Linked DNA regions of Cricetulus griseus. The protein of the gene in region 2 purifies or fractionates together with the protein of the main gene of each other region. This does not show direct contact. Links are inferred from orthologs where the notes say so. Each region holds a gene or a part of one and is shown on either strand. Other genes may lie near its edges.

Region 1 (12,169 bases), on a different chromosome or scaffold from region 2:
GCATGCCTTTAATCCCAGCACTCGGGAGGCAGAGGCAGGCGGATCTCTGTGAGTTCGAGGCCAGCCTGGTCTCCAGAGCGAGTGCCAGGATAGGCTCCAAAGCTACACAGAGAAACCCTGTCTCAAAAAAAAAAAAAAAAAACAAAAACAAAAACAAAAAAAAGAGGCTTACTATACAAATTGAAAATCGGAGTTCAAATCCTTAGTTAGTACCCATGTAAATGCCAGGCAGGTGTGATGGCCCAACTCTAATGCCAGAGCTTGGGAGATAAAAACAAGGGATCCCTGGAGCAGGCTGACTCTGGACTCAAACAAAACACTGCCTCAAAAATTAAAAGTGGAGGGGCTGGAGAGATGGCTCAGAGGTTAAAGCACTGACTGCTCTTCCAGAGGTCCTGAGTTCAATTCCCAGCAACCACATGGTGGCTCACAACCATCTGTTATGAGATCTGGTGCCCTCTTCTGGTGTGCAGATATACACGGAAGCAGAATGTTGTATACATAATAAATAAAATCTTTAAGAAAAAAATTAAAAGTGGAGAGCAAATGGGAAAGATAGCAGGTATCAGCCTCTGCACCCCCCCCCCCCACGCATCCACGCACACACATAACACACCTAAACAACTGCTGGTTATTATGTTTTGTTTTTGAACCAGGCAGTCCTGGCTAGCCTAGAATTCACTGGGCATACCAGGCCAGCCTCTGCTTCCCTGGGGATTGGGATAAAGTATGTGACACCACGCCAGGCAAAATACTTTTTAAACTGTTTCCGCTGACTATGGAGCTGGAGATGGGGACCTTCTATTCCAGGCCCCCACATGATGGCTTACAACCATCTGTAACTTTGTTTCCATGGTATCTGACAGACACCCTCTTCTGATCTCTGTAGGTACTGTATGCAAAATACCTACACACACTCAAAATAAAATCTTTTAGAAATAAATACTTAGGTTGGGTTTGAACACTTGATCTCCAGCTGATGGTGCTGTGTGGGACATCACAGAACCTTTAAGAGGTCGGGCTGTGCTGAAAGAAATGCACAACCAGGGACAGCTTTCAGTTTTACAGCTTGGCCCTACAGCCTAGTGTCTGCTTCCTTCCTGTGTGCAGATGATGTCATCACACTGCTTCCTGACTACCAGGTTGGCTGCCTCCTTCCACTGATGTGCCTTCCCTGTCTGATGGACTCAATGTGTCCCTGCTATTAACTGCAAGCCCAAACCAACCCTTCCTTCCCCAAGTTGCTTCCTCAGGTGTTTTGTCACAGGGACAGAAAGGTAACCAATGTAACTTTACATCACAGAGATTTCTTTTTTGGTGTGGCAGTATGTGTGTTTAACAGTACCTATGTTCAACAGACTGTTCTCTTGAGATCCTTCTGCCTCAGCCTCCAGAGGGGCGGGATTACAAGTGTTAGCCACTAAGTCTACATTAATTTTTTTCATTTTTTTAAAAAACAATTACACGTTCAAAGGCACTAGGATAACACTGCTAAATTTATTAAGGATTAATCTACTATATCAAACTATAACAAGAAACCCTGGATTAGGGGGTGGGAAGTCCCAAAAGTTCCTCTTTGGCAAGTTCCTCTTTGATTCAGGGTTGACTCTTCATGATTTAACAACAGAACTTGAACCAAACTAGCTCATATGGCATGAATTAAACCCTATTTTGCAGACAGAATACCTAGACAGAAATCTAGCAGATAGCTTAAATTGAAGGCAGTCTGGTTCCAGGGAGGGTATGGCCAACCAGAGGAGGCAGTGAAGAGAACTCACAAAAGGACAGAGAAGATAATGAATGGGTTCCTGAGCTGGAAGTTTCCTCCCTTCTGGCTACTATTCTTAGTGACAGCAGGTAGAGCACAGGCTGAAGAGAGAAGTCATCATTGGTCTTTTCTTGCCCGGGGCAAGAAGCCAGGCAGCTAGCAGACACAAGAAGTAGTGAAAGTAAGATACACAGAAGCAAAGAAAAGTAAAAAGCCCCAAGGCTAAAGGTTGATAAACAAGAAACAGGTTAATTGAAGTCAAAAGAGCTAGCTAGAAACAAGCCTAAACTAGGCTAAGCATTCATAACTAAAAGTCCCCGTGTCATGATTTAGGAGCTGGTTGGAGTCCCAAACGAAAAAGCCTGGCACAGCATTTCTGGTGCCATCTTAGGACTAGCCAAGGAGGCAATTTACCTACTACAGGCAGTCATGGGATGCAAGAAACAAAATACCCCGCCCCCCCAATTCAAGGCAGGGTTTCTCTATATGTAGCCTTGGCTGTCCTGGAACTCACTCTGTAGACCAGGTGGCCTCGAATGTACACAGAGAGATCCACCTGTCTCTGCCTCCTGAGTTCGGGGTTAAAGGTGTGCACTATCACTGCCCTGCTAAGTCTTTAGAGCTCACTGGAAAACCAGACCAGTAATAGGAGGCACTAGGCTCCTGTTTTTCCTAGGTAGCAGTTAGCCTGCTTGTCTAGACCCACTTAGTTCATCCTAAGGTTGAGAAGTTGCAGTCTGCTGTGACGGATCTGGAACCCGGAATATCCATTAGATGAGGAGTCCACCAAGCAGGCTATGCTAGGTAAATGTGAACCTTTTCTCTCTAGAGAACCAGCCTATGGGAGAAAGGACAGAACTGTAGGGTGTGACGTGACGATGGTAAAAGCCTTTAAAGCCCAGCACTAGAGGCAGGTGGATCTCCTCAGTTCAAAGGAATACAGTGAGTGAGACCCTGTCTCAGAAAAACAGAAAAGGCTGAGTTTTTCACCGGGACTTTAAAAACCATTTTCTGTGCCAAATTGGAAAGCTATTTTTGCTAGGCTGACATCCGTTTCTGCAGAGTCATAAAACTAAAACTGTTTTGCTTCTTAAATTTGTGATTACAGAATGGAGGTGCTGTTTCTCACATAGGCGATGTTCATCACCTAGTCAGCCCACCCCTAGCCACCCCCAGCAAAGCTTTCCTCAAGACTGCCAAATAGTGATGGGACCAACTCCCAGCCACAGAAGTGTTGGTGACACAGCCTCCACATGCTCTCCCATGTTTGGCTGGTTATTTGCATAGCTCACTAGACAATCTGGAAGAGAATAAAAAAATCAGAAAACAAAAATGCTCCACAGTTCTAACCGTGCAGAGAAAACCTGCCATTCTCTAGGTCCCTTTTCCCAGCCCCTTTCTTCGTCCTGAGCACTGGCTTCCACAAGTTGTTTATCTTGTCAGGGAACAAGGGGGTCATCATTTCTGGGAGTGCCTACTTGTCGCATGCACAAGCACACCAGGCAGCCTACAGCCAGCACCATCCTAGGAAACATTAATTTTTCATATTTGCTATGAAAACTACCCTCTCCACATTTACTAACTTTGCAAGTTAAACATTCTCTTCTTTCCCCAACTCTGCTTTTTTGATTTTTTTTTTCTTCAAGACAGGGTTTCTCTGTGTAGCTTCGGAGCCTGTCATCTAGGCTGGCCTCAAACTCACAAAGATTCACCTGTGTCTGGCTCCCCAGTTCTGGGATTAAAGGTGTGTGCCATCACCACCCTGCCTCTGTTCCCTTTTCCTTAGGGTACATAAAACTCTTGCACAACAGAGCTTTAACCAACACTCCCTATCCTGCTAGGGCCAGAGACTGTCCTTCAGTCTTGTTCACCCTCCTCAGATTTAATGATTTTAAACACGCTGTGGCTGGAGAGATGAGACTCTTACAGATGATGAAGTTTGGGTGCCCAGCACTCATATGATGGCTTACAACTGCCTCTAACTCTAGTTCCAGGGATTCAATGTCCACGGGGGGGGGGGGGGGGGTTGTTGTCACAAGGTAAGCTGTGGGGTATTCCAGGACAAAAGCTCTGGAATGGAAAATACAGTTGTTTGCTTACCTGTCACTCTAGAACCTAAGCTATGAACAGGATGGTGATGGTGTAACTAGCAAGAGGAAAGGGGAAACTTGAAGGTGAAGGTCTGTATCACCAGCACAGGTTCTGTAAATGGTTGAGCTCTAGGGACTCTCTTAGACTGCCCTGGGTACAGCTCCCTGTGGCCACCTGAGTTGCTTAATTCTTCTAGTGAAGGATTACATGCAGCTTCCTGGGCTCCCACCATGACTTTAGGCAGCCACCAGAGTCTTGGTTTTATGTGAATAGACCTATCACAACCAGGCCTTGTACTGTGGCCAGTCAAGCACTCATCTGGATATTGGATTTTTAAGGTGAATCAGGATTTAGTGATTTCAGAACTGGGCATGGTGACACACCTGTAATCCCAGCACTTGGGAAGCAGAGACAAGGACAGTTAACAGTTATTTCTGGCTACAGTGTCTGCCTGAGGCCAGCCAAGACTAAAAGAAACCCTGTATCAAAAAATAAAAACAAAACAAACAAACAAAAAAACGAAACAACAACAAAAATCACAACTGCTTTAAACTACTTCCTCAAAAGCAACTGGGAGGAGGTAACAAGTTGGGAAATTGCCGGGCCCAATGATGAAGTTTATTGTCCCACTGTTTCTACTTGAGATTTTGTAGAAACAGTTCACTAAAAATTCCTAATTAGATTTCTCCTTAGAAGTATTGTGGGGCTTTCTTAAGCCTGGCAGTAGGTTCCAGTGACAACCTGAGGGAAACTTCCTGACCTTCTAAAAACTAGCACCTCCAAAAATGGGGAAGGGATTCCTGGATGCATTTTACATTTCATCCATAGAACCTCGATGAAGCTGCATGCAGGACTCTGATGAAACATAAACCTTAATACTGCATGCAGACGACGTTTCCTGTGGAGCTATTAAATCAATGGCTACCTCAGCCCTGCTGTCTGGTAGTCAGATACAAAGGCCACCAAGACAAGGTACAGGCTGGACCAGTAAGTACAGCTGTCCCAGGTTCTGTCCCAGGTTCTGGGAGGACCCCCTTCCCTGGTGGTCTTATTTGGGTGAGAGAAACCATAAAAGAAAGCCTCTGGCATTCCCCACCCCACCCCCAGTTCCATTTAGCCTCAGGCTAGATTAGGGGAGACCAAATTGGCTCCCCGTCGAGTTCCACAGATCCCCGGGGCGGGCAGTATCTACACCGGGCGACAAAAGATGAGTTCAGGAGGAGGCGGGGGTATACGGTAGCAGGGGAAGGGGTTAGGCAACACAAGACACCGGGTAACCTCAGGGGGATCAAAACTCGGGAAACAAAGGACAAGACGGCAAGGCCAGCACTCACCGGGCGGGCGGGCGGCGGCCCTGGCCTCTCGGGAATCCGCCCCCAGCCGGCAAGCGGACGACGTCCGGACGGGGCTCGGTGTCGCTAGGAGCCAGGCCAAGCCTAGCGCCCCGTCCCCGTCCCCATCCCCAAACCGCAGCCCCCGCAGGGGCGGCCGCACCGGGCACGGACGGCGAGGCGGAGGCCGACGCGGACCGAACCCACGGGGGCCCCGGGCGGAGGAGAAAGGAAAAGGAGGGGGACGGAGCGGAAGCTCGGGCGCGTGGGCGGAGGGCGGGGGCGCCGGCTCGCAGCAGCCGCCGCCGCGGCTCTCGGGATGTGTCACTCAACGCGCCGCAGCGTCACCGACGCCAAGGGAGGCCGAGGCCCGGGGACCCCGCCGCCGCCGCGCGAGCCGCCCGTCCCGCCCGCCCGCCCGCCCGAGCGGGAGGAGCCGCCGCCCGGCCTCCGCGCAGGCCGGCCCCGGGCCCGCAGGAGCACACAGCCCGCCCGCTTACCTGCGGCGCCACCCCGTCGGCCGTGCAGCCCCGGCCCTCAGCGCCCACAAAGGGTCGCCATGGCGTCGCCCGCCGCGCGAGCGCCGATTGGTGGAGCGCGGGGCGGAGCTCCGTTCAAACCCACGCCAGGCGGAGCCTGTGCCGCGTGGGCTCCCGCGCAGCGCCCTCAGCCGTTAGGATCGCGCGCCGGGCGCCCCGCCCCGCCCGGCCCCGCCCCGGCCCCCCGGCCTCGCTCCGCCCCCTTTCCCTTGTCTCTGGACGGCCCGACCGCGGGTCCCGGCATTCCGCGCGCCCTGGCTCCCAGAATCCCCGCGCGCTCGGCCCCGCCCCCGGCTCCCAGGTAACCTTGCGGGCGTCCCTCCCTTGCCGGTTCCCGGCCGGCTCGCCCTCGGTCTCCGTCGACCTCCGTCCTGCGGTTGTCCGTAGCGGCGGCTCCTTTGAAGCCCAGGAGGGCCGAACGAGCCTCGGGGGTGGAACCCCGGAACCAGGCCCCGGGGTCTTCCGGCGGGACCCCAAGTCCCGCCGCCGCCGGTGACGCGTGAAGCCGGTGTCCGGTGGCTGGCAGAAGGGACGGTGCCACGTTCCGGCCGGAAACAAGCGTGTGCGCAGGGAAAGGCCGGGAAAAGCAGGGCCAGGCGCTCGGCTGTGCGCTGCGCGCTGGCTCTCCCGGCTCACCAGCCCACTCCCTGCCCTTCCTTAGGCCGCACAAAGGAAGGCCCTCGGAATCGACACCCTGTCTTCCTTTCTTATTACTGCTCTTTTAAATTTAATCTCTGTGTGCATTAGTGTTGCGCCGCATGTATGAGTGTGCGTCAGTTGCGTGTGTGCCTGTGCATGACCTGGCCACCGTGGGTGTGTGTGGGGGCTGAGAGCCTCACCCGGGTCCTGTCAGAACTACAATTGCTCCTAACCCCCCCGAGGCATCTCTCCGACCCGTGCTTTAACTTTACAAAAGCACATTTATCTAGTGTTTCGTGGGGGACAGACGACTCTTTGCAGGAATCACTTTTTTTCTGTCATGTGGGTCTGAGAACCTTAGGCTTGGTGGTCAGCTGCCACTGAGCTGCCTCTTCGGCTCCCTTTTCTTTTTCTTCGTCTCTTTTGGGAACCGGCCAAAAGCCTAGGCATAGTTTCCCTGAGACTTTGGGCTTTCTGTTTCTTTGACCTCCTTGTCTAACTTAAAAGGCAGTCAGTCTCCTCATCCCCCTCCTCTTGGAGGCCACAAGTTTTTCAATGTGTTCACCCTCTTTTTCTTTTCCTCGAAATCTAATAAAAATTGTCCATGACCTTCGTTCCAGAACCGTCTTAAGTTATTTTATTAGTAAGACTAAGAACCCAAAGGAAACCAGAGTTGAGCTGACCCCTGAATGGAATTAGGGCAAGAGAGAGTCTCTGCATTTGACAGGCGTCACCCAAAGAGAGCAAGGCTGGATGGGAGCTGCTTAATAATCTCCACTGCAAGCCCTCAGAGGGTTCGACGAGGGATTAGACTACCGTGGAGGAGTGCTTGCAGATGTCACTGGCAGTGAGAGGTGACTCAACGGGGCAGCCTGAAGAGCGGGAAGGATTCAGGATTCTATGAAACAAGGTTGGGGAAGCAGTGCACACCCAAGGGTGTGTGTGTACAGCTCAAGAGAGTACATAATTTTGGTGGCTTTTGAAGTTACTTTGTTGAAAGGATGTACTCTAAAAGATTAATAATCTTTTAATAATGTAGCCTCAAGTGGGAGTTAAGGACTTTAGCCCTAGCACTCAGGAGGCAAAGGCCAGCCGATTCCTGTGAGTCTATATCGAGAGAGCCAGGCCAGCCAGGATGACATAGTGAGAACCTGACTCAACAACATCATTTTGCAGGGGCTGGAGAGGTGGCTCAGTGGTTAAGAGCCCTGGGTGCTCTTCCACAGGACCAGGATTTGGTTCCTAGCACCCACATGGTGGCTCACAACCAGGCATGAAAATGGTGCACAGACATACATGCAGGTAAAATCCCTATACCAAAAAAAAAAAAAAAAAATTTTTTTTTTTTGCTATATTTATTTGAAGGCAGAGTTTAAATGAGTCCACAAGACCCCAACCCCAAGATAGATGATAAACAGGTATTTGTTAGGGAAGCACTTACACAAATAATAGCAAACATCTTCCCCCTCCAGAAGCAGTCTCTGCCCTTCAGATACTCTCACCACAACCCAAGAGAGCCTGCCCCTCATCCTTATAAGGGGGTCATGTCTGCACCTGAAGCCACACCCCTAGGATGTGGCCGCCACCAAAACAAGGATAAGACTTCTTGATTTAAAAACTGAAACCGCCGGGTGTTGGTGGTGTACGCCTTTAGTCCCAGCACTCAGGAGACAGAGGCAGGTGGATCTATGTGAGTTTCGAGACCAGCCTGGTCTACAAGAGCAAGTTCCAGGATAGGCTCCAAAGCTCTCTCTGTGGTCCAGGGAGAACAGTTGACATCCTGAGGCTTGCCAGAGCACCTAGAGCTATAACTTTCACTGGCAGCATCTCAGCTGGTATCCCACTGTCACCTTCTATTTTGCTCTACTTGGGTTGTTGCTCCTGCTTGGTGCCCCTCCATCCTGTCTGTGTTGTCATTCACATACAAATCACACCCTCCTCATTTGTTCTCTCCTGTCTGCCCACTTGATTCTTAGAGAGGACAAGTTAAGAACCCGGTGGGAGACAGGAAAGTTGACAGTGACAATACACTAGGTGAAAGACAGGCGTGGTAAAGTAACTCCATGAAGACTTACACCTGGGCATGTAACATACAAAGTCAATGATGAAGATCCAGTTCCTACACAGTTGTCGTGCACTTGGAAACAAGATCCACAAACAGATGGCATGGGAAAGCAAAATAAAACACCAAAGCAGCCCCCAGACATGCTTGCTCTGTCAGAACGGGCAAGGCAAACTGGCCATGACAGGCGCTGCCTTCTGCCCATCAAGCTGGCAGAGAAAAAGAAAACAAATACTCTATTACAGATTGGAAGTGTAGTCAGGCTCAGGTGTGAAAAAAGAGTGAAATTGTGTCATTTTCAGAGGAAGCCAGACGAGAAACATGTTTTCTATCATGCAGGATCTAGATATAAATATTGCTATTGTAGAATATGAGTTGAAGGTGTTACATTTGTTTACGCTGTGGAACATTTGTTTAACGATGCAAAGATGTGTTGTGTTCTTTGATATTGTATTTATTTAACTCTGCTGAAGTGTTTTAACTTTGCCTGTCTAAAACACCTGGTTGTTCTAACAAAGAGCTGAGCAGCCAATAGCAAGGCAGGAGAAAGGATAGGCAGGGCTGCCAGGCAGAGACCATAAGTAGGAGAAGAGAGGGAGGACAGAGAGAGAGAGAGGAGGCCACCAGGGGCTGGCCAGAAAGCCACAGGCCCAGCCACAGCGTAAGAAGAAAAATAGAGAAAGGCAATAATAGCCCAGACACAAAATGTAGTTAAAGAGAAATGGGATAGTTTAAATTAGAAAAGTTGGCCAAAAACAAGCCAAGCTAAGGCAGGGTATTCATAAATAAGAATCATGTATTTATTTGGGAGCTGGGTGGCAGGCCCCCCAGAGAGCAAAGAGAGGGAAAAAAAAAAAGACAAGCCAACTACACATTGAATTTTAAAATATTCTATGTAATACATCGAAACAGAAGGGAACATTTGGGGGAGGGAGGGGAACAGGAGGGTGAGTGGGGCAGGGTTGAATAGGAACAAAATACAATCATATCCTCACATGAAAATGTCATGAGGGCTGGTGAGATAGCTCAGCCAGAAAAGGTGCTTTACCACCAAGCTTGACTTTAAGTGCCCATTCTTACTTACCAGGCCAAGGTTATCTGATATGGCAGGCAAGAAATTAAACCAGGCTCAGGCTGAAGGACCACAGCAAGACCAGAATTTTGACAGTTTTGTTGAGAGCAATCAGAGTTTTCATGCCCTGATCAGGAACAGACTAAATGTCAGTTGCCAGGACCAATACAGTTGTAGCTGCTGGGATACAATGATGTGTGCAAACTTTACAGGGCACACAGGTTACTGTCCAATACCAATTGTCCTGTCAGGCTTCGGTGCTTCCTTGACTTCCAAGGGAACAATACAAGAAGCACAGTTTGGCATGGAAGCGTCACTGCCTGAGGGAGGACCTCGATTCTCAGGGACACACACAGTGCCCCAGGAACCACGCACTCAAACCTGAAAAACCTACAATGTGTGGCGGTTAGGACAGGCCAACTCCACGGTTCCCTGAACTTAATGACCCAAGTTTGGTCCCAGGACCAATATGCTGAAAGGACAGAACTAATTCTCATGGGCTGTACTCTGATCTCCACAGGCATGCTATGACATGCACTAGCCATGACTCCAAGCAAATAGGCAAATAAATGTAAAAAACAAAAAAGTCATAATGAAAGTCTGTATGTCAACTGTCTTAGTTTCTTTTCCTGTTATTATAAAAATACTCAAAAAAAAAAAAAAAAGACAAGAGAAAGGTTTACCTTATCTCACAGCTCAAGGTACTACTTATCAAGGTGGAGAGATCTTAGCACTGGCGCCTCAGGGAGCTGGTCACAGAGTGTCCACAGCTACACAGAGACCTATGAATGCTGAGCTAATGTTACTGACTGGTCTTGTGTGTCAACTTGACACAACTAGAGTCACCAGAGAGGAAGAGGCCTCAGCTGAGGAACTGACTCTATGAGATTCAGCTGTAAGGCACCTTCTCAATTAGTGATCAGTGAGGGAGGGCCCAGCCCAGGGTGGTGCTACCCCTGGGCTGATGGTCCTGGGTTCTAAAACAGGCCATGAGGAGCAAGCCAGTAAGTAGCTGCATTCCATGGCCTCTGCATCAGTTCCTGCCTCCAGGTTCCTGCCCTGCTTGAGTTCCTGTCCTGACTTTCTTTGATGATGAACAGCAATGCTCAAGTGTAAACTGAATAAATGCTTTCCTCCCCAACTTGCTCTTGATCGCAGTGTTTCATCACAGCAATAGAAACCCTAGCTAAGAAATTAGTGCTCAGCCTTTCTCTGTTCAACCCAGGTCTTACCACAGCTAAGATGGATCCTCTAACCTCAACCAACACCACCAAGATAATCCCCACAGGCATGGCCGGAGGTCCATCCCTTGGGTGATTATAGATTCTGTCAAACTGGCAATTAATTTCATCACACAAACTTTAAAAAAAAAAACACTCACTGGAGTAAAAAATGTGTTTCAGGACCTCTGTCCATTCTTTCCCCCTATCTATAATTTAATCACATGTTTTGGGCCATAGGACCAAAATGGCAAAAGAAAAACAAAAGGAAACATTAAACAGGGAGGAAACAGATCTGTGGGTGCCTCTGATACAGAAGTTTTCTGATTGTAATTAACAGTGGTCGGTGTATTCAGGGAAATTTAAACACAAGTGGTATCTATACAGTCCTGCACTACTTTCCCTGCTTCTGGCTTCTCGGCTGATGTTGCTTCCTTCTGGTGATTCCTGGTACTTCAGCGCTGCCTCCCACTGGCCGTTGCCTTTGCAAGCCCACTCACTCATGCCTGCAGCAGACAGAGCCCCTTAAATGGATCATTGCTCAGGACCCCCCCAGTAGCCCCATTTGTGGTGCTCAGAGGAAACTGCAGTGTTGGTTCCTGGCTTCCCAAGTAACCAAGCCATGTCCTATCCCCTGGTCCCCACCACCCTCCCGGTAGCTCATATGTGCCCTGCTCTGGTCCTTGCCCACGCCTTGCCCAGACCAGCTGTGAGACTGTGAGGCTGTGCGACTGCCTTCCTGCCTTCACAGCTTGCTCACTTCCCCAGTGAGTGGGACTTCAGCCAAATTTCCGTTAATCCCTTAACCTCCACAAGCCCCTGCTTGAACTGAAGGGCCCCAATATTTCTTGGGGGTCTCCCAGAATCAGTGTTAATTCAGAGTCAGTATCCAATAAACCCCAGAAAGTCTGATGGTTTCCTTCCCCCAGGGGACAGTTACCTTTGTAAAAGGCTATATAGGTCTGTCCAGGAAAGGGCTGGAGAAACACTAACTGGGAAACAGGTATTTTATCAAGATCCTTCCTCAGGGGAACCTGGCCTACCCTTCATGCAAGGAATTCCGCATCTACACTGGCTCAAGTCTAGTAATTGGTTCATGGGCTGAGAGACTGGGGTTCTCTTTTGCTATGATCCAGTGGAACATTCCTTTTATTTCTTTGGGCATTTCCCCACTCACACAGCTCAATAAAGATACAGTCCCAGTCTCACCTCCTTCACGCCAGGGACTGGGATGCTGCGGCGACAGGCCTGACCATGCTATTGCCAAGAGGCATGTGGAAGACTTTGGAACTGTAGACTAGAATAGCAGTTGGACACTTAAAGTGGGGCGTAGCGGGCCATCCTTGTAGGAGCAGGAAGACAGTGCTAAGAGCAGTTTGGACAGTGAGGGCTCAACTCCAGATACTTCAGAGGGAAAAATATTAGCAAGCAGCCTAGATACTGTTCT
Region 2 (11,462 bases):
CTGAGTTATGATTTTGTTTTTAATGTTTCTTTCATGAAACAGTCTGCATTACTGACTCAGACTCCTCAAGCACTCTTCCTGCCTCAGCTGCCCAGGGGGGCGGAACTACAGATACACACTGTACATGGCTAGCAATGTCATTTATGTGGCTCACAAAAAAAGGGGAAAGATTTTATAATGTAACTTAAATACCTATAACTTCTTATTATAGATCTCTTATGCTTTATGTAGAAAATCAACACTTTTTTTTTAATCATTATAACTCTATTCATGATTACTAGGTTTATTTCACAAGTACCTGGAAGAAAAAAGAATAACTTCTGTCAAAGAAACAAAAAATTAGGTCTTTATTTTTACCTAGTATGACAAACCAGAGGGGATAAAACAGCAAGTTTCTTCCTTACCTGTCAGACCCATTCCAACAACATTCAAATTTGTCAAATATGCAGTCATTTTCATAGAGTGAGCAAAGTTTACTTCTGAGGTATTCATGTACCTAGGGAGAAACACATACTCCATTTCAGTCTCCTCTCAAATCAGGAACATTAAAAATTCATTTAAACAGTGGATAGCAGAATCACACCCCCCCCCCCCTCTAACCTTACTTCTCCTGGTCCTTACATTTTTCAGTAGCACAACTGAGGAAAACACCTTTCTGGGCACTGCAACGTACTCCAATAAGCCTAACTAAGACATCTGTAATATTCAAATAAGAATGTACACCCTCCATAGATTCATTTATCTGAATGTTTGATCCACATTTGGTGGCCTATTTAGGAAGGATTAAGTGGTGTGGCCTTTTGGAGGAGGCCTTTTGTGTCACTGGGGTAGGGCTTTGAAGTCAGCCTCCCTCTGCCTCCAGTCAGTGAATCAGATGTAAGCTACTGTTCTACACCATGCCTGCCTGCCTGCCTGCCACCCATATTCTCCACCATAATGAAACTGTAAGCAAGTCCCCATTAAATGCCATCTCTTCTCCCGCCAGGGACAGGGTTTCTGTGTAGCCCTGGCTGTCCAGGAACTCACAAGAGATCCACCTGCCCCTGCCTCCCAAGTACCAGGATTAAAGGTGTGTGCCGCTGCCGCCGCCACCACCAGCAGTTTAAAATAATTTCTTTCTTAAGTTGCCTTGGTCATGGTGTCTCGTTCACATAAATATAACAGTAACTGAGACATCTAAGCCAGAAGGTATTTGAAAATGGCAAATAAGAGACTAACAAAAGAATGTTGTAGCAGAATTTAATTTTCACTTTTTGGCACTCAGTCCATTACTGCTTATAAGAATGCTGCTTCCTTGCCTCTGAGTACCATTTTCTGAGCACAAATTTAACTGTGCTCTGTTATTTTAAATTAAATATACAGCACAGAAAGGATTAGGCTTAGTGACAAACTGATTTCTCTCAGCTGTCTGTCCCCATCTCCTCACTCTTATCTACCCACATCATTTAAAAAGTCTATGGTGGGCTGAGATATGGCTTGGTGGATAAGTATGCTTGCTATCAAGCCTGAGTTTGATTCCCAAGATATGCAACATTAGAGAGAACTGAATCCTGAAAGTTATTCTCTGACATGAGGGTCTCAGTGTCATGCATGGGGAAGACAGCTAGCTCTCCTGGATACTGCCAACACTTTGAAAACAGAACATTTCACGCTGATTTTGTTTCCATTTAACATTTGTTTGTCCTAATTTTGTAAGCATCATGCATTTCCTAAGTCTGCTTCAGAGCACTTCTTTCTACACCCTGGTCCACAGGCTCTGCTGGCCTGGCCTGTGCTGCACTGTGTACCTCACTCTCATCTATCTCCGATGCTGTAGATACGGGTCAAGGACAGTAGCTATTTGACAGAGAGAGAATATTGAACTTACATTCTACACCAAAGAGGTAACTCCTAAAGCCACTGACAGAGAATTCAGGCCCTTTATACTTGAAACAATTAGCCAAAAGATATATGAGTCATGTGATTGTCAGGTCAAACTTAAGCCCCGGTCCGCTATTTCTGTACACTTTTTATCCGGAGTGTGCCCTCTGCTGAGAATGCTTTCCCGAGCCCTGCTGCTGTCCACATTTCTCACTCCCATATACAAGGCAGTCCACCACAAATAGCCAGCAGTGAACCACGTGACTAACAAAATTAAGTTTACCCACAATCGTGAACAAACAACATACACTTTACACAGTTAACAGCAACACATCCGTGGCTCTCTGAAAGAAATGTGCCACTCTGAACACCCTGTGCACCTCTATACTGTCCACAGGTATACACTCTTTCAAAACAAACTGCAAATACCTGGTATGTCTCCACAGGCCTGTTTTCCATATTCAAGTCCCAAATTTTGACTGACAAATAGTCTCTAGTCATCATATAGCGACCACTATGGCTGAATTTTACATCAGAAATAGAGGAGATGATTTCAGAAAAAAAAGACCTGTTGCTGGGATCTTCAGGTTCTTCAAACACTGAAAACAAGAGGAAAAGTTTAGTATCTGGGTTTGGATAGATCATTTTCTAATAACCAAGTGAGGGAAAAAAAATCACAGACTAATACAGAAAAATTAAAACATTTTGCCAGCTTTGGGGACAGGTTCCCTCACAAAATCTCTCAAGAAACTTAATGATTACTACACAATGCAGAGCCCTGTTAATGTAGGGGTCTGCTTTTCCATAGGAGAGTTCAAGTGGGACACTCTACTTCAGTGCACAATCCGCCTCATTGTCTCTATTGTCACTCTGGAAACCACCCTCCACTCTGCCCATCCAAATTTCCAGTTGCCCCATAAAAGGATTTGTTAACTGGCATGTATCAGTGTGTGTGTGTATAACTGTACCATATGTGTGCAGTGTCCAAGCAGGCCAGATGGTATTGGATTCCCTGGAATCCAAGAATCACACAGTTGTGAGCTACTATTCTCATAACTACTGAGCCATCCTTCCAGCCTCATCCATTTTAATGCCAATGTTTTTGTAGGGGGAGGGTGGCTTCCTAGTAAGTTGAAAAGGTTAAGGAAGGAGGGATAAGGAAAGAGAGAAGAAAGGAAGCTCTGCTTGAATACAAGGCTGGAAAGCTCAACCGCACATCCATCCACATACATGCCCACCTCATGTGCTTTCTATGGAATAAGCAAAGTTTCAGATGGAGTCAGGAAGTTACCCACAGGCACACAGGTCAGGCTGAGTCTGAGTGGACCCACTTTAAAGAAAGGGCAGAAACAGACTTACATTTAGAATGTCTGTCACAGAGCGCAGATGCCCTCATGTCACATAACCGAATAGTTCCTTTACTGCTGCTGTACACGAATGTGTTACAGCTGTTGGGATGGAATTCTGCTGCTGTAATCACCTCTGTGAGCTCTTCCATATTGGCAGGCTTGATATCCACAATATCTAGATAGCATTTCATTAAGGAATCTCCACACAGAAAAGGGAAAATAACTAAGACCAAGTATTTCTTAGTAACACTCTATTCCTTTTTATGAGCAAACCCCAGAAATGTTAAAATGTGATTTGTACTTTTTTTCTTTTTTTATTGAGAGACCTTGCTATATATACAGTGTAGGATGGCCTGGAACTTCTGTTCTCTGGTCTCAGCCTGCTGAATGCTGGTACTGTTAAATAGCACTATCACACACAAGAGTAATAAATCTTTAAATCAATTTTATGTTCCAACATTAGTTAGAACATTTTTGAAATTAGTACTTTACAAACATAGCAAACCACTCAATTTCAATTTTTATAGGCACAAAAGAAATTCCCTAGAACTTCAAAAATTCTATTTTGGGATCATCAGCTCATATGATACGTATTTTTTATTTTCTCATTGAGTTAACTTTTTCTCAGTTTTAATTACTTAAAAATGGGGGTGGGGAGATGCCACAAAGATGGAAAGACATAGTAAAACAAGGATCTAATACGTGAAGGAACTCCCTAAGCCTCGATACAACGGGGCTGGCCTAGGCCCTATCCCAAAGGATATGACAGACTTTGAAGACCCCCCCTACAGAAGGCCTCAGCCTCCCTGGGGAGCAGAAAGGGCATGGGATAGGTAAGGTATTAGTTGGGGAGGCAGAGGGACCTGGGATTAACATGTAAAATAATCTTCTAATTAAAATAAAAATTGAAAAAAATACATGAAGGAGAGAGAAGATAAATCTAATACCGACACAGTATGATTTCTTTACCAAACACCAAACTAATCAAGTGGATACTAAAACTCCTGTCTGTAATTTCCAGATGCCAGAGATTAATCCGCAAATCATCTGCTGATAAGTAGGTTTCATAATCACTATTGATAGAAATTGAGTTGATGTGGTAGGTATGGGCATTGGCAAATATTCTCCGTGGACTGGCCTCCACCATTAGATCCATGGGCCTGAACACTGGCACCTGTCAATGAAATATGAAAACCCAGATTCACAAGACCATTATTCTACTTTTCAGAAAACAACCATAAGAGATATAACGAAGAATGAGTCGGTGTCTCGTTTTTTTGTTTTTGTTTTTTTTAAGCCACTGATGTTGGTTCTCTTTAAACACCAAACTGGAAGAAAGAAAAATAAACAATCTGGACAACTACTTTCTTCTCCAAGTTTTCAAATCATAGTTCCAGTATAAACCTAGTACAAGTGTATGATTTGAATTAACATGGCTAAAAAAGTAAAACCCAGTTTCTTATTCTTAGCATCTTTAGCATTAACTTTAACATTCTACTTTTTTTTCTAACATTTCTACTTTCTGAGTTCCAAAGACACTTACTTTGTAACAACCAAGATTCCAACTCTGAAAGCCAAAACCAGTGTTAAGACAGTGTGAGTCCCATGTCATCTGTGCCCCCGCCCCCTTCCTCAGGAAGCAGTGAGACCTCTGTGTAGCTGTTTCTATTTCAATGAGAAAGATGCAATGTCCCATAAAGAAATGTCCACCAGTGGTTCTAGGAACAGAGGCAATAATGGCACCTGCTTGGTAGCCAGGCTATACAAATATTGACAAAAATCCAATCAGAGGCATTTTTCTTTCTTTGAAGTCAGCACTGGCTATCTTGGAATGCACACTGTGAAGACTAGGCTGGCCTCAAAACTCAGAGATCCACCTTCCTCTACCATGCTGTGCTAGGATTGAGAACCTCCCCACACCTTTTTAAAAGTACTTACCCGTAATGTAGTGACTGTAGTAGGATCTCTATACCTTCCATCTTCCTCTTTCAAGTTATAGCCTTCTGGTCTTTTGTCTCTTTCACTGATTTTCCATAATTTTATTGTTTTATCTGGGGAAAGAATGAAGAAAGTCTTCAAAAATGGCAGAAAAAAAAATAATCCTGATAGAAAAGCTATTCTAAAGCAAAAATTTTAGGTATGGAAATTAATAATTCACATAAAGGAATTCCTCCCTCCCTCCTTCCTGGTGACAAGGTTTCAGGGGGTAGCCTTGACCATCCTAGAATTTGCTTTATACACCAAGTGGATTCAAACTCAAAAAGGTTTTCCTATCTCTGTCTCCCAAGTGCTGGGATTAGGGATTAAAGACATGGGCCATCGTGGCAGGCTTTTTGTTTTGTTTTGTTTTTGTTTGTAGATAGGGTTTCACTCTGTAAACCAGGCATTTCTAGAACTCTTATGTACCTCTCAGATGCTGGGATTAAAAGAGTGCCCCATCCCCCATAAAGCAAAACAAAAAGAATTCATGTGCCTTTTCATTTTCATCAAGGTAAAGTCAGGTGTCTAACTTTCAAAAACAGAACTGTTGCATGTGTATAAACTGCCTATTACTGAGCTCAACTAGCCAAATCCTTGGATCCCATCCTAATACGTCTTATGGAAAACCAGAATCCTTGATAGCATAGAATGATTTCTTTGAATTTGTCTTTTCTCTTCTTTGATCAGTGATTCCCTAATACAGAGGAGTCTGAAAAGCAGTGGTTAAAAACAAATCCTCACTGAACAATGGGTGCTATAATCCCAGTACTTGGGAGACAGGGGCAGGCATATCATATATGAGTTCAAGGCCAGTCTGCTCTACAAAGTGAGTTCCAGGACAGCCAGAGGTGCCACACAGGAAAACCCTATGTGTGGGGGTGTGCAGCATGCAAATACTCAACCCCTTCAAGACAAAAATTCCTCTAATTCAAGGATGGATGGATGGATGGATGGATGGATGGATGGATGGATGGATGGATATATGTGTGTGTGTGTGTGTGTGTGTGTGTGTGTGTGTGTGTGTGTGTGTGTGTGTGTGTATTTATATACATATATATTTACCTAGGAATTGGGTCTAGACTCAGAAAATTTCAAATTTAGGTGTATTCTCATATACACAGACTTTACCCAGTCTCTCCAATGTCAAATCTAAGAACAAAACATTCTTGTCAAAACCATGTGTAATGCTAGTGAAACTAAGGTGTCCATGAGATTTGAGTTAAGTTTCCTACTAAATGCCCCTTTTCTGGTTCCAGGATCCAAACACCACAGCATTTAGTCATCAAGCTTCCTCAGTCTTTTTGTTTTTGTATTGTTTTGTCAAGGGTTTCTCTGTGTAGCTTTGGAGCCTATCCTGGAAATCGATTGGTAACCAGGCTGGTCTCGAACTCACAGAGATCCACCTGCCTCTGTCTCCCAAGTGCTGGGATTAAAGGTGTGCACCACCAATGCCCGGCCACCTCTTCAGTCTTTAAAGCTGCCTCTCAGACTTTGATCATTTGTCATTTACCTAGAGAACTGTTGAGTAGTGGTCCCTTAATGTCTGTCCCTCTTTGGATGTTTGGAAAACACAATGAAGTGACCTCTAAGCTCACTGCACAAGGGTACAACTCTGTCAGCATAACTTATGGTTGGTAGCCGATGTTGCCACTGCACAGCTGCACACCTGCTCACTTTGCCTTTGCAAATAAAATCTACCCATGTATTGCTTGTAATTATTTACATGGATTCATGTATAAGATACTTAGGTACAGCTGGGCGGTGGTGGCACACACCTTTAATCCCAGCACTCGGGAGGCAGAGACAGGCAGATCTCTGTGAGTTTGAGACCAGCCTGGTCTACAAGAGCTAGGTTCCAGGACAGCCTCCAAAGCTAGAGAAACCCTGTCTCAAAAAACCAAAAGATATTTAGATATAATTCTAAAATGGTATTTTTATTCAAAAGCAAAACAGCTCTAATTAATGTTCTTACATAAGCAAAACTGAATACCCTAGTTTTAAAATAACTCAGAAGCCATTTTATAAGTAGTACAAGGCAACTGCTACAGGGAAACATCAGTGGCAGTGTGGCCATTTCTACTGCCTGTTTATAGCACTTGATACAAGATGAAATGTAAACGTAAAAACTGATAGCTTCTAAAAATATAAAATGGAAAAAAGAAAGCATCTTCAAATAGCACTGGCATAACTGGAGTTGACATGTAGAAGAATACAAATAGATTCATATGTATTGCCATGCATAAAACTCAAGTCCAAATGGATCAAAGACCTCAATATAAATCCATCCACACTAAATTGCATAGGAGAAAGTGAGAAGTATCCTTGAACGCATAGGCACAGGAGACCACCTCCTAAATATATAACACCAATAGCTCAGACACTGAGAACAACAGTGAATAAATGGAACCTCCTGAAACTGAGAAGCTTCTGTAAAGCAAAGAACATGGTCAACAAGACAAAACGGTTTCCTACAGAATGGGAAAAAAACTTCACTAACCCCACATCTGACAAAATATACAAAGAACTCAAGAAACTAGACACCAAACTACCAAATAATCCAATTAAAAATTGGGGTATGGTTAAAGAAATACTCAACATCCTTAGTCATCAGGGAAATGCAAATCGAAACAACCCTGAGATAACATCTTACATTGATCAGAATGGCTAAGATCAAAAATACCAACGACAGCTTATGCTGGAGAGGGTATGGAGTAAAGGGAACACTCCTCCATGGCTAGTGGGAGTGAAAACTTGTATATCTGCTGTGGAAATCAGTATGGCGATTTCTCAAAAAACTAGGAATTAATCTACCTCAAGATCCTGAGATACTGCTGTTGGGCATATACTCAAAGGTGGTACATTCACACCACAAGGACACTTCCTCAACCATGTTCATAGCAGCATTATTTGTAACAGCCAGAGCTTGGAAGCAACCTAGGTGCCCCTCAACCAAAGAATGAATAAAGAAAATGTGGTACATTTATACAATGGAGTACTACAAATGGACAGAACTAGAAAACAGATCTCCACAGATCTATATATAAGTAGCCATTGGGCAAACCTCCCAGAATACAATCGAAGTGAGAGAGGAGCGATAATATGAACAAAGGAGTCAAGACCATGATGGGGAAACCCACAGAATCAGCTGACCAGAGCTAATAAGAGATCACTGACATTACACTAACAACTGGGGAGCAGCCATAGGACTGAACTAGAACTCCTGAATACAGTTGACAATGGTGTGGCTTGGGCAGTATATGGAGTCACTGGTGGTGGGACGAATATAATATATTGTATAAACTGACTTTGTGGAGCCCATTCTCTATGGAGACATACCTTGCTCAGCCTAGACATTGGGGAGTGTGTGTGTCTGTGGGGAGCACCTTGGTCCTGCCTCAATGAGGTGATGGGACAGACTTAGTTGACCCCATAGGGGAGGATTTACCCTCTCTGGGGAGCAGGTGAGAGGTGGGATGGAAGGAAGGAGGGGAGAGCAGGAGGAGAGGAAGAACTGGGATTGGAATGTAAAAAATTTTAAAAAAGAAACAAAAAAAACCCCTGCTAGCTTCAGTAACTTACCATCTACTCCTAAGCTCTAGTGTAGACGTTTGTAATTCTCTTATAGCCGAGCTATGTGTTTCCTATGCACTATTTAGTTTATAAACAAATGATGAAGAAATAGATGCTCAGATACAAGCCATATACATACTTTCTTTTCCTCAGAAGATATAAAGATCTGCTTAGAAACCCCCTTCCCAAGATGAGGATGACAGACGCCCCACCCCTTCAGCTGTCTTTAGCCTATTGAAATTCATCAACCCTATAAAATTTGGTCCAGACAGGAAACCACAACATACTTAACAGACTTTCAGATGGGATGAATTAGTTAATGCTTTTTACTTTACAAGGAAAAACAAAAAAAATAGCAAAAAGCCCTCTAAAGCAAACAAACCACCCTGAAAAAAATTAGATATTCTTTTCAGGCTTTTTTTTAAGCTGTAAAGCTTGTGATTTACAATTTTAAAAATAAAGTTTTGTTTCAGTGATAAAATACACAGCAATGAAATACTAGGATGGCTAGTTTTGGGGAGCAGGCAGACAGGAAATAAATTACCACATGAAAATCACTTTTACCAAGCATTTCTGCCCCACAGCAGGTGTGAGAATGACCAACTCCACAGAACCACACCATCAAGTGTGATGTTATACCTCACTGGAAAGAACCATTCATCTTTTAAGCTCTCTTCTTCCTAAAATGTCTATTTCCCTAAACTGCCAACAAATAATTTAAGTACTCCACCAATCCAAAGGTCTCTTCAATTCTCCTGCTACAAGCAAAGTGTCAGAGTAAAGAAAACCATGTGGCAAAGTTTCTTTTGTGGAAATGTAGCTCTCTGTGGTTTAAAATTTCTTGCTAAAAGCTGTGAGAACACGTTCTCGTGTGGCTCATATTCAACATGGTGATCAGGTATCCTTGGTGTAGGAGAATTAGCAGGACTCAGGGAGAGGCAAAGTTTGTTTTTAAATTTGAACTTAATTTTATGTGTACCTGGTGTCCACAGAATCCAGAAGAGGTTATTAGATGCCTATTAGGGATGTTATTAGGGACTGGAGTTAGAGTTGGTGTGAGCCACCATCAAACCTGGGTGCTCTTAACCACTGAGTCATCTTCTGATCCAAGGATTTTGTTTGTTTTTAAAGAACACTCAAAAGAATATAGACAAGATGCAGTTATTCCAAGTAATGTCTAACTTTTTATTGATATAACGACCCATTTTAGGGGAGGGCTATGATGCTGTATCTCACAGTAAACAAGAACTATACTATGGATGCTGACATCTTCAAAATGTTTTCTCTCCCTCAAAGTGTTGCTGTAATTCAAGACCTACTCTTCCTATACCTCCAATATCCATTCATACTCAGACAAAACAGCTTATAAAACTCTGACCTTTATAATACTGTTATATTGGACCCTGTTTTTAAATATATACATATAACTCTGTAAGGTATCCATTTGGTTCTGTCTTATTTAGAAATCAGGAATAACAACAACAACAACAACAACAACAACAAATTAACCAGGCGGTGGTGGTGCATGCCTTTAATCCCAGCACTCAGGAGGTAGAGGCAGGTGGATCTCTGTGAGTTCGACACCAGCCAGATCTACAAGAGCTAGTTCCAGGACAGCATCCAAAGCCACAGAGAAACCCTGTCTCGAAAAACAAAACAAAACAAAAAATTGCAATCTGTTCTATCAGGCCTATAGTGGTCTGAATAATCATGGCCACCATAGACTCAGATATTTGAATGCTTAGTCACCAGGGAGTGGCAGTGTTTGAAAGGATTAGGAGGTGCAGGGTGTGTGTGTGTGGGGGGGGAGGTGTTAAGAGTTTCAAAATCCCATGCTCAGTCAGTTTCTCTTAGACCTACCTACCAGACCAGCTTGCAGATCAGGATGTAGCTCTCAAATACTTCTCCAGCACTATACATTTACAGACCCTGGGCCTAGTCATGGCAACTCCCAGTTGCCTCATCCTCAACAGCCCCCAAGCGCTCAGTGCCTAAGGCTCATTATAGTTGGGCATAGTGACTTACACCTATTAACTCCCATCTCAAAGCCAAATAAAGGTAATGCTTATTTTGGTGACACTTTTGCTACAAGAGCAAGACAGGGCAGCCTATGGAACTGCATTTGGGCATATATAAGTGAATGATACCTAATGGTCTGCATAGGGGAGAGGAGGGGAAGGGAGACTCATACACTCATTGGGCTTCATTACACTACTGTCTCTACTTGAATTCTTGAAGGCCTGTACTTGAACTCTCCCTTTAGAAAAAGAATACAAACTGCCATGAGGTATACCTTGTGGCCCAAGCTTGCAATCCAGCCTAGGGAAGCTAAGGCTACCCCAGGCTAAAATGCAAGATTGTCTCATTACTTCCCTTACCTCATACATACAAAGTATCATTTATATGAAAAGGGAGGTAAACAGAGAGGGAAAAAAAAATTAATTGGGGGGGGGCAGGAGATAGGTTCCTGAAGAGGCAAATACATGGAATCAGGAATGGCAATAGTTTGTGGATTGCATTCCCTCAAATTCAATACAGTAGAATACAGGGCATAGAGTAGATGAGGGGGTTATAAATATCTTCCACTGTGTTACCCAAAGAAGTCATGAGTCTACACTCTGCAAATAGAAAGGTATAAGTGTTAAAGTTTGCTTCTATTAATAGTTAGATGAGAAAACATGAGATTTCTGCTAACATGTCAGC

The links.
Region 1: the proteins of Ppp2r2a (region 2) and Cdca4 purify together in Homo sapiens (affinity purification with mass spectrometry; 4 studies listed by BioGRID and IntAct, with this or other methods). This does not show direct contact. The link is inferred for Cricetulus griseus from reciprocal best matches to the Homo sapiens genes PPP2R2A and CDCA4.

What each region holds. Positions count from the first base shown.
Region 1 is NC_048598.1:181,214,731-181,226,899, reverse strand, and holds the start of Cdca4 (cell division cycle-associated protein 4), read right to left. Parts: upstream 6,177-12,169; 5' UTR 6,036-6,176; intron 5,843-6,035; exon of another isoform or gene 5,691-5,842; intron 5,503-5,690; exon of another isoform or gene 5,194-5,502; intron 1-5,193. UniProt on the Homo sapiens protein: May participate in the regulation of cell proliferation through the E2F/RB pathway. May be involved in molecular regulation of hematopoietic stem cells and progenitor cell lineage commitment and differentiation.
Region 2 is NW_023276807.1:221,998,456-222,009,917, forward strand, and holds part of Ppp2r2a (serine/threonine-protein phosphatase 2A 55 kDa regulatory subunit B alpha isoform), read right to left. Parts: intron 5,261-11,462; coding exon 5,148-5,260; intron 4,384-5,147; coding exon 4,206-4,383; intron 3,385-4,205; coding exon 3,220-3,384; intron 2,460-3,219; coding exon 2,290-2,459; intron 497-2,289; coding exon 405-496; intron 1-404. UniProt on the Homo sapiens protein: Substrate-recognition subunit of protein phosphatase 2A (PP2A) that plays a key role in cell cycle by controlling mitosis entry and exit. Involved in chromosome clustering during late mitosis by mediating dephosphorylation of MKI67.